4 linked regions of the Arabidopsis thaliana genome follow. The protein of the gene in region 1 interacts with the protein of each later gene in a pairwise test. Each region holds a gene or a part of one and is shown in the gene's direction. Other genes may lie near its edges.

Region 1 (4,079 bases):
AAAACATATCGAGAGAGGAGGAAACAGAGGAGACCCAAGGAAAAAACGAAATCTCGAGAGAGAGAGAGTTTAGAAGGAAAAGGCCATGACCAAGTAAGAAACACAAGACAAAGAAAGAGGAAAGTAGTTGGTATTGGGTGGGAGCATTGAAGAGTGATAATACGACATTTTCTAAGTTTGACTATTTCAGGTAATGGATGAGACCGACGGAAGAGCGTCATCATAAGTTTCCGTTGCGCCGCCGCCATAACTTCACCACCTTCTTCCGTCAAAACCATTCTACTTGCTATTTTTCTTCCTTTGTTTAATGATTCCTTGTCTGACCTGTCTTTGACCTTTTTGTCGTTTTTTTAATCCTTTTTTAATGACAGTAGGTAAATCTCTTGCCAGGTGCGATGAATTTCCAAATATTGTCAATAAAGTTACCTTTTTATCCCACCTTGATTTTTTTTTTATGTATTAATTAAAATTTAAAAACGTATACCATTAGCAAATAGTAGCAATCATTGGTATATTGGAATCATATAGTATATGGCAATTTGGTCATCGATATCGTATCTTTATGTGCATTTTGGCCCCCACGATACTAAAAGTCACGAAATTTTCCAAAGTATCGACTTTTATTGGAAAATGGTGCTGATTATCAACTGATTTGTAGAAGTGTGATTAATTACCTGTAGTCATTATGATTTTCTTGAACAAAAAAAGAAGAAACAGAAGATGTATGTCACTATGTCGTATCATTACGAGAGGGAAAAAAAAGAAACAGCTGGAATAAATTACTCAAATAAGAAAAGAAATACAATGGGCACTATTAAAAAGCATAGACATGAGCTATATATTATTTATGTTTAGAGAAGAACTTTCCAACAGAATTTGGTTTTAAAAAATACCCGTTAGGTGACAATAAATGGGAGAAACTATATCTTAAGTATGTTCATTATTTATATATAAAAAAAGGGAGAATCACAATTCACAAGTATGTTGATAAATAATAATAAAACAAAAAAAAAAAAGACAAAAGAAACTTTAGCTGGTAAAAGTAAGCATCATTAGGTTTTTAATTTGAATCACTATTAAATGATGCCGGTCCACTACTTGCGTTTAAGACAATTTAGAGAGACTTAACTAAAAAACTTATTACTTAAAGCGATCAATACGACCATCTTTTTAATTATTTTGACCGGTAAACAAAGTGATGCCCAATTGCCAATTTAAGAGAAGGCCCAAAACATCCTCCTGTCCACTACAGGCGCATTATATGCTCGAGGATTTCTTAAAACAAAACAATACTTGTCTTCTTGTATGGGCCTGATAATTAAGGCCTCCGTATGATTTAGATCCAACCAATAAGTATTTTTCACTATAAGTGAATTTTACTTGTTTCCCAATCCATAGATAGTTCCATACCAAGTTACCAACTTATTATCCCACAAAACATTCTCTCAGACTCTCAGTTCATACAAGGCTTTCTGCCTATTTTTTACTTGTTAAAATTTTGACTCAAAGATACAAAAATATACACTCAGACGTGGGGAGATGTAATGCCATAACAGCTTAAATTAATAAATTTCGTTGAAGCAACTACAGAATCTTGTAATGAATGCTACAAAGAAGATTTAAAGTTAAACAAATTTAAATCATGAAATCGAATAATTAAATAAAATACAAAGAAAAAGGAAAAAAAAATAAAAAAAAAAGGGAGGGAGACAAGATGCTGCGATGGTTCACGTGCCAATGTGCCTTTTACTTTTCATCAACTAGTTTTCTTTTTAATTATTAATAAATCAACTCAATTTCGCAATTTTATAGTTAGTGACGTCACTTCTCTCTCCTCACAGAGTCGAGTTTCTCTCCTACGCTCTTCATTTCATTTCATTTGATAGAGAGAGAGAGAGAGAGAGAGAGAGAGAAAGAGCTTCGTCTTCTTCATCTCCATCATTATCTCCATTGACATTGTTCTCAATTGCGAATAATAATCATAATTATTCACACAACCAAAGCATTCATCTCTCAGATTCTCTTAAAAAAATGGAGAAATCAGATCCTCCACCAGTCCCAAAGCCCGGCGCCACTATTATCCCCTCCTCCGATCCAATTCCTAATGCCGATCCGATTCCATCTTCTTCCTTCCACCGCCGATCTCGCTCCGACGATATGTCCATGTTCATGTTCATGGATCCCCTCTCCTCCGCCGCACCACCTTCCTCCGACGACCTTCCCTCCGACGACGATCTCTTCTCTTCTTTCATCGATGTCGATAGCCTCACCTCTAATCCCAATCCCTTTCAAAATCCTTCCCTCTCCTCCAACTCCGTTTCCGGCGCTGCTAATCCTCCTCCTCCTCCTTCCTCTCGTCCTCGCCACCGTCACAGCAATTCCGTTGACGCTGGATGCGCCATGTATGCCGGTGATATCATGGACGCTAAGAAAGCTATGCCTCCTGAAAAACTCTCTGAGCTTTGGAACATCGATCCCAAACGCGCCAAAAGGTCCTTCTTCTTCTTCTTCAAATTTGTTTCTCTTTCCACAGAATTGAAGAATTGCAATGAAATTAGGGATTTGATTACAGGATTCTAGCGAATCGACAATCTGCAGCTCGATCCAAAGAGAGAAAAGCTCGATACATTCAAGAACTTGAGCGCAAAGTTCAATCTCTTCAAACCGAAGCTACCACTCTCTCTGCTCAGCTTACTCTCTACCAGGTTTCCATATTCGGCGATTCCTCGTTTGATCCCAACAGAATAGGAAAGTTCTTTCCTCTGTTTTACATACATAGACAGATCTTGATTTCAATGTTGTTTTGATTGATCCAGAGAGACACAAATGGACTAGCAAACGAAAACACAGAGCTGAAACTTAGGTTGCAAGCAATGGAACAACAAGCTCAGCTTCGTAATGGTAAGCACAAAAAAAAAAGAAGCTAATTTCTTTGTATGCATTTTGGTGCATTTCTTCAATATTTGCTTTTTGATGTTACAGCTTTAAACGAAGCGTTGAGGAAAGAAGTTGAAAGGATGAAGATGGAGACAGGAGAAATCTCTGGTAATTCAGATTCGTTTGATATGGGAATGCAGCAGATTCAGTATTCTTCCTCAACTTTCATGGCTATTCCACCATATCATGGCTCAATGAACCTCCATGATATGCAGATGCATTCTAGTTTCAATCCTATGGAGATGTCCAATTCTCAAAGCGTGTCGGACTTTCTACAGAACGGCCGAATGCAAGGGCTGGAGATTAGTAGCAATAGCTCAAGCTTAGTCAAATCTGAAGGACCTTCTCTCTCTGCTAGTGAGAGTAGCTCTGCCTATTGACGACAAGATTATGATGAGGCTCATTTTTCTGTTAATAGGTTTTTTTTTTTTTCAATTCATTTGATTCACTTTTGATTATTTATTCTTTCTTTTTTTTGAGGTGCCATTGTGCAAGAAAGGACGTACGTATACATTTGTGTTGGTTATGTGTCGTGAGTTTCGTTGTTTGCTATTCCCATTGTTTGTTCTTCAAGGAACAAAGGAGACTAATAAATTTCATTTTTCTTTTGTATACAATGATGTTTGCTACGTTTTGTTTTATTTTACTAGGAGATGGAGATGTTTAATAAGTTCATTCCAATTGGGTTAATAGTTTGATTTTGGGATCAATGATTTTGATACGACAACACCAAGGCAGTTCCTCAGTAGCTTCTTCTCCAAGACACCCTCACATCCGTCATCCCATTAGAGTTTTGAGACAACTTCTCCCAACCGGACTTCTCCATGAGACAAAATTTCCCAAACTTGGAGTCGGAGTTGAAATGAGAGACGAAGCATTGAGAGATTAGTTTTTGAGACTCTGTAAGACTGTTAACGAAAATATTCGACCTTTGAAAGACATCTAACACGATTCAACCTTTAAGCAAAGACCCATTGTTGGAGAGAACCAACAAAAGTTCCAACCTTTCCAAACTGAGCTAGCAAGAACAATAGAACATGCATAACAATAAGAACGTGGAGAGTTTAGAACATTGTTACCATGTTATCAGACGAAACATCTACTCTCTGGACTGTGGACGTCCTTGGAGAAGCTCGGTCTAT
Region 2 (4,234 bases), 9.3 Mb from region 1:
AGAGGAGATTCGAATCTTTCAACAAGCTCAGGATTTTCCAAGTCATCAGTGTTGCTTTTCTTGGTGGCCTTTTATGGTGGCATACTCCAAAATCTCACATCCAAGATAGAGTAAGGCTCTCTTCTTCTAGATGCTAACACACATTTTATTCAGACATCAGTATTCTAATTCTAACCATCATTCTACATTTATTCTGAATGCAGACTGCTTTGCTCTTCTTCTTCTCGGTCTTTTGGGGCTTCTACCCGCTATACAACGCGGTTTTCACATTTCCACAAGAGAAAAGAATGCTAATCAAGGAACGGTCTTCCGGAATGTACCGTCTTTCCTCCTATTTCATGGCTAGAAACGTTGGGGACCTGCCCTTGGAACTTGCCCTTCCAACTGCTTTTGTGTTCATAATTTACTGGATGGGTGGACTTAAACCTGACCCAACAACGTTTATCCTCTCGCTACTGGTTGTTCTCTATTCTGTCCTTGTTGCTCAAGGTCTTGGCTTAGCCTTCGGTGCTCTGCTTATGAACATCAAGCAAGCCACAACGTTAGCATCTGTTACTACACTCGTTTTTCTCATAGCCGGAGGATACTACGTGCAACAAATTCCTCCCTTCATCGTATGGCTCAAGTACCTAAGCTACAGCTACTACTGCTACAAGCTGCTTTTGGGTATTCAATACACTGATGACGACTACTATGAGTGTTCAAAAGGAGTCTGGTGCAGAGTTGGAGACTTCCCAGCAATCAAGTCAATGGGATTGAACAATCTCTGGATAGACGTGTTTGTTATGGGAGTGATGTTGGTGGGTTATCGGCTCATGGCTTACATGGCACTGCATCGGGTGAAGTTGCGGTAAACGTGCAGCCGAAGGTAACAACAACTAAGTAACTCCAAGAAGCTCCAAAGAAAATTTTCCCCACTGCAACCAAGGAATAATAGTAGTATTAGAAAAGATAAAAGTCGTCGAATTTTGGTCGATTTTACTTACGTATCCGAGATATATATCCGACGACTTTCTTTTTATTTTAGGCTAGATGATGATAGTACTCCTAAGTTTGAGAATAAAACAGTGAGATAATGTATGAGATAAGAAGGGAAACCAAGTATATACTAATTCCCATTTGCAAAAACAGTGACTAAACTTTCGGTCCACTCTTCCATGGAAATGATTGTTGTATCTTTTGTGGGGTTCCTTAAAAAGAAAAGGTCTACTCTATCTCTACACATTACTAGTCACCTGCAAGTGCATATCAACTGGTGAAAATCAATGAAATGTATGTATCAGATAATTAAACAACTTGCGGATAATAAGACTAACAACGACAGGACATAAGCAAACACACCTGACCATGGCTCTCCTTATCATCTCAAGTAACTTTACTGGTACTTTGAAGTTTTCTTTACCACACATATAGACTTTTTTCAACTGCAGAATTTATGTCAACAATAGCTACAGGAATAATGTGCTTTCGCTTTCATGATAAATACGAGTCGAATAATTGAAACTTTAAATGGCTGTTGTTATACTTCACATCGTTACTAGCTACACAATAATTTAAAACCAAAAAGAAGAAGTGGGGAAGCTACAGTGTCTGCAAAACAACATAGAGGAGCAAAAAACAAATCATTGGATGAGAAAGGCCCACAAGATATGCTTACACATTAAAACGTGATTCACTTTAGTCAAGTGGAAGCTGATGCAAGAAGAGAAATCCATGTCACTCTCTACTTTGTCAAGTGTCATTATCATCACCTAGAAGAACCATCTTCTAACCCTTCCAAGTAAAAACTTGAAACGTCATTCACTAACTTGTGTTGCTTTCTCAGACCTAAATACATCATCCTTTCTAGTGAGTGATATACATACGAAAGCAAGAGAGATCATCATATGATCTAATCATGCTCTTTCCCCCTTTATACCACATATAATAACTACACAAGTTGCCGTTTTTAGTCTACTAAATGACCATAAGCATCTTTATCTTAACAAAGATAAGATAAACTAACCAGAGAAGATGAGCAAACATGTCATCTCTTAAGTCATAGATATTAACCAAGTTTGTGAAAAACCTTGTCATTCACCACTCAGAGACAAGAACTAAAAATCTCTAGTAGACTAAGACAACTAAAATCAACTAATACATTTAACAACCACTGATATCGATTAGGGTTTCCACTCACCACATCGTTCTCCTTTTAAGAATATGTCTCATCCAAGTTGACGGTGACGCAGCGGCGAAGAAGACTCTCTACGGCGATGTTGCGACGGAGCATCCGCCATGTACGAATAGCGACCGGCATCAAACTATTAAACGGTGCCGTTTGTCACCGAAGACTAAAAGTTCATTTTAAATTGCATATTAACCCTTACATTTTACCTTTATTTTCGATAAACATCCTAATTATTTCTCTTTTTTCTGAAGCCCAAATAGGCCCAAACTGAATTTTAGCTATCTTCTTAAATTGCACATTAGCTCTTACATTTACCTTTAATTTCGATAAAACATCCTAAATATTTCGTTTTTTATGAAGCCCAAATAGGCCCATAGTTTATGAAAGGCCCAAAATGAGTTTAGCGATCTTCTTTTAAGAGTCTTTCTTGTCTCTCTCGCCGAATTTTTCTCTATTTGACTGTTGTTAGGGTTTTAGCTTCTTCTCTAGTCGTTGTTTGTTTCTCTTTTCGGAAATAAAAAATGGCGGGAATTTCTAGGGTTTTGGGAGGGTTCAGGACACTGATGTCGAAGGCGGCGACTGTTGAGGCCGTTACTGTAGCCGGAGAAGGAAAAGGGATATTCAAGACTCGTCCGGTGTCACAGCAGCTAGCTAGCTTCGCCGGAGAAAGGGAACTCACTCGTGGTTCCGCTCTGAAGAAAGTTTGGGAGTATGTGAAGCTTCACAATCTCCAGGTTTGTTTGATTTTGGAGCTTTCTAAGGTTTTTACTTTGCGTAGATCTGTTTATGAACTTAGGGATTTGGTTGCTTTAGAGAAGGAATTGTTGCATGTAAACTAAATCGATTAAGCATTTTAGTGGCGGATGATTTGATTGTTATGTAGAACATGGATCTTGAGTAAAATGCATGTTATCTTGTGGTTGAGAATGGATTGTTTGGTTTTGACTATATACATGAAGCATCTTGTGGGTTTGGTTGTGAAGATTACTTGGATTGTTGTGTTGGTCATTATCTTAGAGAACTTGGAATTGTAGTGTTCTTTGAGTTTTGGAATTAGTCTATTTAATGTAATACACACAGATGATGTCTATATGTTGAATTGGTTGTTCAATGTAAACAACAAGCAGCTAATGTAGACCATAAACTTCTCTGTTTTCTGGATTATTCATAGTTTCTGTTTGAGTGATTCATTTCTTGCCTCATTGTAGAATCCGGCGAACAAGAAGGAGATTCACTGCGATGATAAGTTGAAGACGATTTTCGATGGCAAAGACAAAGTCGGAATCACAGAGATCATGAAGCTCCTCTCACCACATTTCCCTAAATCCGTCTGATTTGGTGATGTTTATCTAACGTAGTTGTATCTATCTAAGAAGAAATGGTTTGGCTTTTGTGGTTCATTTCGGGTTGTATATGAAACTCTAAACCCGTTTGAACTTTGGTATGTTAACAAACCAAAACAATAACTCTCTTTTGATCCATCTACCGGAGAATATTATGTAGTTTGACCATTTTATCTTAATATTGTTTGATTTTGTGAAATTACTCCTCTCTCTAATCTTTGATGGCTTTCTGCTCTAATAGTCTAATGTGTCGTGTGAGCAACGATTTCGTTATTATTGTTTAATGCATATGAATGGTCACAATTATTTTATCCTCTGATGGAGAAGAAACGTGTCATGATCAGAAGAGGAATAAGAATGCGTTGTTAAAACGAGCAAGCATCAACGCGTCCATTTCGGTTTAAATCAATAGCTAAGAGCCTTTTTCGCTACACATAACCAAATATCGCACACATGTATGTGTCTAAACATAACATAGTATATAGTTCATTTTTCCATATCTTGTATCTCTCTCTATTCATATCATCTTATTATCTCTCAAGTTCTTGATTTTAATTAAAGATGGGTAAAGACGACCACCACGAACAAGACAAAAGATTCTTCTCACATCATAATCATCACGGCCATGGGTATCCGCCAGGAGCTTATCCTCCTCCACCGCAGGGAGCTTATCCTCCACCGGGAGGTTACCCTCCGCAAGGTTATCCTCCACCACCTCACG
Region 3 (6,401 bases), 1.1 Mb from region 1:
ACCTCGGGAACTAAAGAAGATGCTCGTCGCTTCTAGAACTCTTTACCAATCAGTGAATGCTATCTTCGAAAGTAGCTTCAATGTAAGAGAGCTCTCAGCTTTTGATTTTGGTGTGTTTCGTTTACACACGAAGAGAGGGGGGTATAGGGTTAGAGACGACGAACCAAAACGAAAGGCGACGCGTATCGTGTTGGTCGGCGCACACTGGAACTCAATCTGGCCCGTTAAGTAAATGGGTCATTAGATTTCTTAATGGGCCTACTGACCCGTACATTATTAAAGCCGAGGATCCCCTTTCAATTTTATTTTTCAAAGTGAAACCCTCGTCGTCGTCTCTAGTCTGAACTTTTTCAATCTCTCTCGATTTCATTCAATCAATGGCGCCTAAGAAAATCGGAGCCGGCAAAGGCGATTCGAGCATCTTGGCGAAGATTTCAAACTACGATATCGTTTCTCAGGGAAGACGCGCCGCTTGCGATGCCGTCTACGTGTCGAAGAAGCTGTTAAAGAGCACCGGGAAGGCGGCGTGGATCGCCGGTACGACGTTTCTCATCCTTGCCGTGCCTTTGATCTTAGAGTTGGAGCAAGATCATCGATTAGGCGAGATAGATTTTGAGCAGGCGAGTCTTCTCGGAACCCCACCGGTCGGTGCGATGCTCTAAAGTAACTTTAGAAACCCTAATCCGTCGATCATATCATAAATTTGATATTATCATGCTTGTTTCTGCTACTCGATTAGAAGCTGTTAGTTTCCTTCCTTGTGTAAGATTAGGTTTACTCATAAGGGATTTGATGAATTTCAATTGGCTATTTTGAAGATTGTGTTTGAGCAATCTTCTTCTAATTTATTTGGCAATTTATGATGTGGGCTGAGATTTTCTCCGTACAAGTGATTATTCTTTTAATCTCATAGCTGTGACTCACTTTGAGTGGAGCATCAATCTTCGAAATTTTATTTGGCAATCTGGTTAAGAATATAGGTAAGGATCTTTGGTAAACTTAGCTGTTTACACTTGTCTTAATTTCTCGTCAACATTTATGCCATTTAGTTCAAATTTTGATTTGATCATCACTCCTTTACATGGCAAGGCCTGTAAATAGACTGCCTAAACCTTGATGATGCTTCTTTTGTTCAGCAAATATCTTGTTAGCATCACTGCTCTTTTCGTGACAAAACCTTTGACTCCCACTTTTTCAGTTTTCAATGTGTATTTTGACTCTGTTTGCATGAAGGGTTTTGGTTTAGCTGACTTGCTGATTACTGAATCTCTTGATTTTATTCTTCCCCTATCGCCTTCACACTTGAACCAAAAGAACTATACAAAATTCTACTTTAAACCAAAAACTGAAATCATACTTGAATTCCCTGGGTTATTCAATTGTAGTAGAACAAAACGTTGTCTGTCCTGGACCCAATCGCTTAAAAGAAAAAACATATGTTGTGGGCCGTCCCATACTTGATGAAGCCCATATGATTTAAAGGAGTTAAACCAGTCAACTCGAAGGAGTAAAATCAGTCAATCATACTGACACTGCATAGAGAGAAAGAAAGGTTCACTTTTAGTTTGTCTTATTCGCCTCATACAGAAAAAGTCAATGACGACTCCCAAACGCTGCGTTTCTCAAATCTTTGAAGACTCTCCTTCGTGGAGAGTATACACTTTTCTTTCCTCACTTCGTCTTTTAAAGTTTCAAATTGTCGTCTTTCTTTGGACAGAGAGATACATTGATCAAAAATACGCTTTGCATAAGCAAATCTACCATCAGTTTTTCACTACATTCTCTTCTCTGAGGAAAGTCGAAAATCCGGTTCTCTCACTACAGAGTCTCACCCTCTTAAAACCCTAAATCAGTTTCAGAGTTGGTTCTTTTGCTTGTAAGTTCTTCTCATTTTTTCTGCTAAAGCTTCAATCTTTTCCGTTTCGAGACCTCTACTCGTTTTTTTTATTCTGGAAAATTGAAACGTTTTAGGGTTTTGGTACTTTGTTGTCCCTTCGGTTTTCCAAAAAAAAAAAAAAAAAAACAGAAAAAGTTCCAATTTTTTTGGTGGGTAATAAGTATTTGGTAATGGCTCTTCCTACATTTGTTTTTTTGTTTGCTTTCATCTCAAAATTCAGGGTCTTAGTCACATTAGTTTCGTTACACATCTAACTCTTTTACTCTCTTCTCTGGTTTCGCTCTTATTGGTGGGGCAGGAAGATGAAAGTTTCCACTTTTGTTACTTTGCTATGTTTATTTCTGAAGTTTTTTGAGGTTGGTGAGTGATTCAGCTTTGTTATTGCAGAAACTTGTTGAAAATGGCACCGAATCTTAGGATTAAGAAAGCCTGTGACGCGATGAAGCTTTTAGGAATATCAGAGACGAAAACAAGGGCCTTTCTCAGGAAACTTCTCAAGACCTATGAGAATAACTGGGATTTCATTGAAGAGGATGCTTATAAGGTCCTTCTTGATGCAATCTTCGACGAGGCTGATGCCCAGGTCTGTTTTTTCTGCTTAATCACTTTTTATTTTCTTTATTTGATTGTTTACATATTCTCACTTAGTCAGTTCTCTTTCTTTGATATGTCATATGGTAGTCCACTGAAAAAAATAAGAAGGAAGAGGAAAAGAAGAAGAAGGAAGAGGAAAAGAAGTCCAGAGTAAGTTAACTTTCTTTAATTTGATGACAATTTTCTGGTGTTTTTTGATGTTGTTTCTTCTCAAGGTTTTGATGATCTTTTTTTGTTTCTTTAGAGTGTAGCAACGAGCAGGGGAAGGAGGAAAGCTCCTGAGGTATACGACCTAAATATCTTTGTTGTTTTAGAATTTGTTATCATCATGAAACATTAACTTGTTTTTTTTTTTGGTTAAACCAAACTCAGCCTTTGGTACAAGATGAAGAGGACGATATGGATGAAGATGAATTTCCATTGAAAAGGAGGTTGCGCAGTAGACGTGGAAGAGCTTCATCTTCATCTTCATCTTCATCTTCCTATAACAACGAGGATCTCAAGGTATGTTTAGTATCTGTTTTTCGGGTTTCTTGGTCATATTATATAGCCTGTGTTTATTTTGTTTTCGGTGAAACAGACACAGCCTGAAGAGGAAGATGAAGATGATGGTGTGACTGAATTACCTCCGTTAAAGAGGTACGTACGCAGAAATGGTGAACGAGGGTTGGCAATGACTGTTTATAACAATGCAAGTCCTAGCTCCAGCAGTCGCTTGTCAATGGAGCCCGAAGAAGTACCACCAATGGTTCTATTGCCAGCTCATCCTATGGAAACGAAGGTTTCTGAAGCCAGTGCACTTGTTATCCTCAATGATGAACCCAATATCGATCATAAGCCTGTGATTTCAGGTATTGTTACATGAACTCAAGATAAAACTTAGTAATCTTTCTTTTATTGCTTTTTATGTGGTTGTGATGAGATGTTGAAACCTTTGCATTTTAACCTGATCTGTCTTTTGTGATGTTTCCTTCTGACACTTCTTTTCATTATTTAGATACAGGAAACTGTTCAGCTCCCATGCTTGAGATGGGGAAATCAAATATACATGTGCAAGAATGGGATTGGGAAACCAAAGATATTCTCAATGATACTACTGCCATGGATGTGTCTCCTTCTTCAGCTATTGGGGAATCAAGTGAGCATAAGGTTGCTGCTGCTTCAGTTGAATTAGCTTCTTCGACTTCTGGTGAGGCAAAGATTTGTCTAAGTTTCGCGCCTGCAACTGGAGAAACAACGAATTTGCATTTGCCTTCTATGGAGGATCTTCGGAGAGCAATGGAGGAGAAGTGCCTCAAGTCGTACAAAATTGTTCACCCCGAGTTTTCGGTCCTTGGGTTCATGAAGGACATGTGTAGCTGTTACATAGACTTGGCAAAGAATTCAACCAGCCAGTTGCTTGAAACAGAAACCGTATGTGACATGAGTAAGGCGGGTGATGAAAGTGGTGCAGTTGGCATTTCGATGCCGTTGGTGGTTGTTCCTGAATGCGAGATCTCGGGAGATGGCTGGAAAGCAATTAGCAACATGAAGGACATTACGGCTGGTGAAGAAAACGTTGAGATTCCATGGGTGAATGAGATCAACGAGAAGGTTCCTTCCCGTTTCCGTTACATGCCTCACAGCTTTGTGTTTCAAGATGCTCCAGTGATATTCTCGCTCTCAAGTTTCTCTGATGAGCAAAGCTGCTCCACTTCTTGTATCGAAGACTGCCTGGCTTCAGAAATGTCGTGCAATTGTGCAATTGGTGTTGATAACGGGTTTGCGTACACATTAGATGGGTTACTCAAAGAAGAATTCTTGGAAGCTCGGATCTCTGAGGCTCGTGATCAACGGAAACAGGTGCTGCGATTCTGTGAAGAGTGCCCATTGGAGAGAGCTAAAAAGGTTGAGATTTTGGAACCATGTAAAGGGCATCTAAAGAGGGGAGCCATTAAAGAGTGTTGGTTCAAATGTGGTTGCACTAAGAGATGCGGTAACCGAGTGGTGCAAAGAGGAATGCACAACAAATTACAGGTAAAACATTCACCTTAACTAACAATCTTTTACGTGTTTTTCTTTCATCTTGTTATATAAATCAATTAGTTTCCATTTTTGATCAGTCATCTTTTTTTCTTAATATCAGGTGTTTTTCACGCCAAATGGGAAAGGCTGGGGACTTAGGACTTTAGAGAAACTGCCTAAAGGGGCATTTATTTGTGAGTACATTGGAGAGATATTGACAATTCCGGAGTTATACCAACGTAGCTTTGAAGATAAACCCACTTTGCCTGTGATATTGGATGCACATTGGGGTTCTGAAGAAAGGTTAGAGGGTGACAAAGCTCTGTGTCTTGATGGGATGTTTTATGGAAATATCTCAAGGTTCCTTAACCACAGGTAATGGCTTCCCCTAAAACTCAGAACACCAATGGTGTTTCTCTCTATTTTAAACTGATGTTTCTTTCTGTCCTTTGATGTATGTAGATGTCTTGATGCAAACTTGATCGAGATTCCAGTTCAAGTCGAGACTCCGGATCAGCATTATTATCATGTAATGATACAATGACGGTCTCATATATAATCTTTTGCTCATATGTTTCTTCTGTTTTGGGGAAATTGTTTAAACTGTAATCTTTTCCAGCTTGCATTCTTCACAACAAGAGACATCGAGGCAATGGAGGAACTCGCATGGGTGTGTATAATTTCGCATATCCATTTTATATTAGGCTGAGAAGTTTCTATACCGATGAAAATGATTGTATATTCCTAATGCTTACTGATATCTTGATATACATTGATCTGATGTAACCCTTTCACATTCTCAGGATTATGGCATTGACTTCAACGATAATGACTCTCTAATGAAACCCTTTGATTGTCTGTGTGGTAGCAGATTCTGCAGGAACAAGAAGCGATCAACGAGTGAGTAATATCATCAGAGTTTGTTGATTCTGTTACATGGGACTGAGTAATATCAATCCTGCATCTCACTGACTGAATTTTTTTTACCTTTGTTATGTTCCAGAGACCATGCAGATTTTGAACAAAGCATGAGAGGCTAGTGAAGAAGAAAAGACGTGATGAGACCCTCTGTTTTTTGGTGAATGGGACTCTCCAAACCGGTCCGGGTTAATAGATTTTGTAGGTTGGGAAAAAAAGAAGCTTAAGTTGGGTATTGTGTGATCAAACTCTGTATAGCTCGAGGGTCCAGTGCCTTTTGTTTTAATTTAGAAGTTTGACCATCTTTAATTCTAAATCTCTCTAAACCACGTTCTTTTTTGTAGTAAACCATAAATTTCCGCACTGTTGAGGGCCAACGGATCCCTGATCGTAAGACTAGGAGTCTAGGATGGACAAGTTTTTACTTCTTACTTTTATCACTCAGTTTATGGAGATGGAAAGTATGATTGTATTGTCTTTGTGCATATGGTGTGTTCATCTAAAACAAGTGAAAAAAGCTAAAAAATTGCCGTTGAACAACTCTCTCACTATATATATAATCTATTTATGTATGAAATTTAATCAAAACGTGATTAACAAATTATAAACAAACAACTCTTGTCATGTTATGATCGGTGTTACTTAATTGACCATTCTACTTTTTGAATGTTATAATTGTTTGCTTAAGAAAGTAAGCTTTTACGAAAGTGGTATCCTAATGTATAACACGTATTATCTAAAAGATCAAAATAACGGGAAAAATGAGATTCTCATCGTTAACATTTTACGATTATTTTGACAAAATATGGCCAAAAGTTGTAGTAAATGTTTAACTTATTCAATTTTAAGCTGAATTGGCAGTTGAAAATAATAAGCATTTAATTGTAGTCCAACTGTGCATGATCGGTCGTATACGTGCTTTGCTGGAAAACCGAGTGTTTCTAATGACTTAATATCTATACTCTACTTATATTCAATTAAGAGATCC
Region 4 (3,815 bases), on another chromosome or scaffold:
ATGCACGTATTCCAACTTTTGGTCTAAACTGGGACACATGAGCGTTTCAATTGCACTCTGTGTTACCGTTTTGCACTCATTGTGGTTACCGTTTTGCACTCATTGTGGTTACAGCTAGGTTGTGTGACCAAACTTAATAAGATTCTCTAGCGATCAGAGAATATGGTCCGGTTTGCAGTGGTAAAAGATAAGCAGGGTTTACTTGAAATTGATTGTGGTTTTAGGACAAATCAGTTTGAAATCATTCGTTTGAGCTTCTAACCGCTTATTTCAAGTCCAAGTATCCAATTCAATATTGGTAACCGAATTAAAGGTTCGTTTTTAACCGCCATCACTAGTATGTGATCTACCGCTAGTATGTAATGTATTTGACCTCTATGAAATTGGAATCGTTCATACTTAACAAATTTCTAGGAAAAAAGGTTAAAACTATTTTCTTGTATATGCTTCAATCGTCTTGAAGATTACATAATCCAACGCACTAAAGGCTAATAAATTTTTGAAACTGAAGTCCAATCATCGTTATCTACTTCAGCCGACCTTAGGTCCCAACTAGAGAAACTTCTCAATCTCTGATTCTCTGATACACATACGCAGAGGTCTACTTATACACATTGTATACAAGCAGCTAATAATTAGTCATAAATTGTGAAACGTTTAAAAGAAAAGTAAAACAGTTTATTATAAGATATATAGTGAAATTTGGCAGTATGGCAAGAATTCACTCATTGATATAAAACCCCAATGTCATTGTTATTGAATTACAAGAATTCTTATGAAATTTAATAATTATATTTTTGTTATATGAAATTCTGTTATTGTGATATCCTGACAGTGTATATAAATAATGCTTAAAAGAATGAACTAGATATCTCACTGCCATGCAAATTATATAGTGGTCCACCATGAATCTGTATATAAGCATATTACATATCTAAGATGCTTTATTTTAACAAAAAAAAACATGTACTCTTTAATTTGGTCCATCCTCCATCTAAGACCAACCATTTTAGCTGTCAATCTATTTGCCTACTATAATATGTACAGTATTATGGAGCTCAATTGGGATCATCTCACGAAGAAAATCGAAAGGAAACCCCTAATTTTTAAAAGTTTTGGGTCTTAACATTTACTGATGCACATCACATACTATATATAATGGAATTTGCCCTATACCAAATGTAATGTATAAGTTGGTTCTCAGTAATTTTGAACTATTGTTTCGAATGATATATAGCAAAAGATCCATATGTAGTGTGTAATGAAAATGTAATTTTCTTACATTAGTATTTTCTATTGAATGGAGTCAAAGATATCGTTAAGAATGATCGTATGCATCATCAAGATTCAGGACTAGACATTCTAAAGAATGATCTCTAAGTAAGTAGATACATGTGTACACATTTTGATTATGTATATGTGTATCAGTGTATGTATATGTTTTTATTTATTATCTACTATTAGTATGGGTGATTAATGAAAATCATAGCATCTTTCTTTCCGTCAGAAAACATGTGGATAAGAGTGTCTATAGTCTACACACTACACAAATTGCTCTTTATACCTAACTAAAACCCTAGGGATTGGAGCGTATATATATATAGATATCATTTCTTGCTCAGCCTCAACCATATGTTATATTATACACTTTTAGTTTTAGATAACGAGAGAGAATAAATTATAACTGTTCATCATCTCGGTTCTTATCATTTTCCTCAACCTACGTGACAAAGAACTCACTCGATCTGTCTAAACCCAACGACTTCGTCAAGCTTACCAGTTTTTCTGTGTAAGATTAATCATCTTTTTTTCTTGCAGTAATATAATTTGAAACCTTTGTTTTCCTCTTTGGATCCTCAGATCTTCCTATTGATTCAATTGTAATCTATTTCGATTTGAGAATCACTTTCCTTTGATCTTTTTTAAGTATATATACACAAAATATCTAGTAAATTAAATTAATATGCAGTTCGAGTAATATACGTTTTCTTGATCTTAATAGGTTTTTGTTATTTACTCTATTGAAGTTGCTTTCATCTAATTAAAGTGATCACGCTTCCCAAAAATCCACAAACATTCCGAATTTGAACACTTTGTGATGACAATATTGATTTTGTTCATCTGTTTTTTGTTTTTTAGATCGACAGAGGACATGGGAATAAAAAAAGAAGATCAGAAAAGTTCCTTGTCCTTGTTGACGCAACGATGGAATAATCCGAGGATCGTGCGAGTCTCCCGAGCATTTGGAGGCAAAGATAGACACAGCAAAGTGTGCACAGTTCGTGGTCTCCGAGACAGGAGGATAAGGTTGTCGGTGATGACAGCGATCCAAGTCTACGACCTTCAAGAACGATTAGGGCTGAGTCAGCCTAGCAAAGTCATTGATTGGCTCTTAGAAGTTGCCAAAAACGACGTCGATTTGCTTCCTCCTTTGCAATTCCCACCTGGTTTTCACCAACTTAACCCTAATCTCACCGGCCTTGGAGAATCTTTTCCCGGGGTCTTCGATCTTGGAAGAACACAGAGAGAAGCTTTGGATCTTGAGAAAAGGAAATGGGTTAATCTTGATCATGTGTTTGATCACATCGATCATCACAACCATTTCTCGAATTCAATCCAGAGCAACAAGCTTTATTTCCCTACAATTACTTCGTCTAGCAGCTCTTATCACTACAACCTTGGACATCTCCAACAGTCACTACTAGACCAATCTGGTAACGTCACTGTCGCATTTTCTAATAACTATAATAATAATAATCTCAATCCTCCGGCGGCGGAAACTATGAGTTCTCTATTCCCAACAAGGTACCCTTCGTTTCTCGGTGGTGGTCAACTTCAACTCTTTAGTAGCACAAGCTCACAACCAGACCATATCGAGTAGTTCCAGCTGCAGATTATTTTTAGACGATCTTTAACAAGTTGAAGAATTCAAGTCATGTGACATGTAAGGCATTTACTATATGTACATAGAGAGAGGGAGATTTATATGGTTTAATGGTTATTGTTGGATTGATTAATCGTCACATGCGTGTATTTATAGTAGACAGTCTTATTAAAGATTATATAATAGACGCCAAATCTGATGCGAGCAAAGGTACATATTCATAATTCATGTTGTGATTGAGTTGGTAGAATATCTAATTCATTGTACCGCTACAATCAATATAAATAATATCTCTCATACAAACTTTTCACATTTGTATGTAAAGTTTGTAGTGCCTAAATATGCTATAACACAGGCCTCATTGCACGCCAAACCCTAGCTTGTACTCATATGTCCACAACCACATGCATGTGTAGTATACAAGGAACACAACACATATGATATCATCTACAAATAGAAATAAACACACTCATACACACAATGACACAAATATACGTTGTATGTATATATTTTGGGCTTAACATGTAAACTAATCGAACCGAATATTTATTTTCTTACATTTCCGAAACCAAATATGCCGCAAAAGCATTATTGAACCTATTGGAAGGATTTACGACAACTAAAACGTTTTATCCTGAATATTCATATATAGGTATATGATTTGTTGTAGCAGCTTTCCGGTAATTGGATTAATGTAAAGTGAGTAGAATCATATACTCCAACCAACAACTAGCTATATAGAGATAGATTTAGGTGATGAGTATTGCCTTATTGGGATTGGCGAATGAGAGAAGGAAAATGAGAAGAAGATGAGGCAGTTAAGACAGCAACTGAATCTGCAGTCAAGTCAAGCACTGATCCCTATATATCTTCTTTTAATTATTCTTCTTTTTTTCTTTTCTCTTTTGTCGATCCTCTTTTCACTTTCTAT

The links.
Region 2: the proteins of bZIP52 (region 1) and AT1G31760 interact in a two-hybrid assay, tested with the Arabidopsis thaliana proteins (one large-scale study listed by BioGRID).
Region 3: the proteins of bZIP52 (region 1) and SUVR1 interact in a two-hybrid assay, tested with the Arabidopsis thaliana proteins (one large-scale study listed by BioGRID).
Region 4: the proteins of bZIP52 (region 1) and TCP17 interact in a two-hybrid assay, tested with the Arabidopsis thaliana proteins (one large-scale study listed by BioGRID).

What each region holds. Positions count from the first base shown.
Region 1 is NC_003070.9:2,103,202-2,107,280, forward strand, and holds bZIP52 (basic leucine-zipper 52), read left to right. Parts: upstream 1-1,846; 5' UTR 1,847-2,031; coding exon 2,032-2,492; intron 2,493-2,572; coding exon 2,573-2,705; coding exon of another isoform or gene 2,706-2,807; intron 2,808-2,816; coding exon 2,817-2,901; intron 2,902-2,982; coding exon 2,983-3,317; 3' UTR 3,318-3,548; downstream 3,549-4,079. Other genes in the region: AT1G06840 (Leucine-rich repeat protein kinase family protein), read right to left, coding at 1-7.
Region 2 is NC_003070.9:11,371,872-11,376,105, reverse strand, and holds AT1G31760 (SWIB/MDM2 domain superfamily protein), read left to right. Parts: upstream 1-1,804; 5' UTR 1,805-2,691; coding exon 2,692-2,904; intron 2,905-3,378; coding exon 3,379-3,504; 3' UTR 3,505-3,712; downstream 3,713-4,234. Other genes in the region: ABCG14 (ATP-binding cassette 14), read left to right, coding at 1-110, 204-854; AT1G31750 (proline-rich family protein), read left to right, coding at 4,075-4,234.
Region 3 is NC_003070.9:1,045,093-1,051,493, reverse strand, and holds SUVR1 (histone-lysine N-methyltransferase SUVR2-like protein), read left to right. Parts: upstream 1-1,629; 5' UTR 1,630-1,876; intron 1,877-2,016; exon of another isoform or gene 2,017-2,284; 5' UTR 2,285-2,297; coding exon 2,298-2,480; intron 2,481-2,514; exon of another isoform or gene 2,515-2,578; coding exon 2,579-2,641; intron 2,642-2,735; coding exon 2,736-2,774; intron 2,775-2,863; coding exon 2,864-2,995; intron 2,996-3,071; coding exon 3,072-3,342; intron 3,343-3,488; coding exon 3,489-4,507; intron 4,508-4,616; coding exon 4,617-4,870; intron 4,871-4,957; coding exon 4,958-5,024; intron 5,025-5,114; coding exon 5,115-5,165; intron 5,166-5,298; coding exon 5,299-5,395; intron 5,396-5,498; coding exon 5,499-5,527; 3' UTR 5,528-5,896; downstream 5,897-6,401. Other genes in the region: TOM22-I (translocase of outer membrane 22-I), read left to right, coding at 378-662. UniProt on the Arabidopsis thaliana protein: Probable inactive histone-lysine methyltransferase that acts as regulator of transctiptional gene silencing independently of histone H3K9 methylation.
Region 4 is NC_003076.8:2,582,733-2,586,547, forward strand, and holds TCP17 (TCP domain protein 17), read left to right. Parts: upstream 1-1,625; 5' UTR 1,626-1,789; intron 1,790-2,139; 5' UTR 2,140-2,152; coding exon 2,153-2,881; 3' UTR 2,882-3,303; downstream 3,304-3,815. UniProt on the Arabidopsis thaliana protein: Plays a pivotal role in the control of morphogenesis of shoot organs by negatively regulating the expression of boundary-specific genes such as CUC genes, probably through the induction of miRNA (e.g. miR164). Participates in ovule development.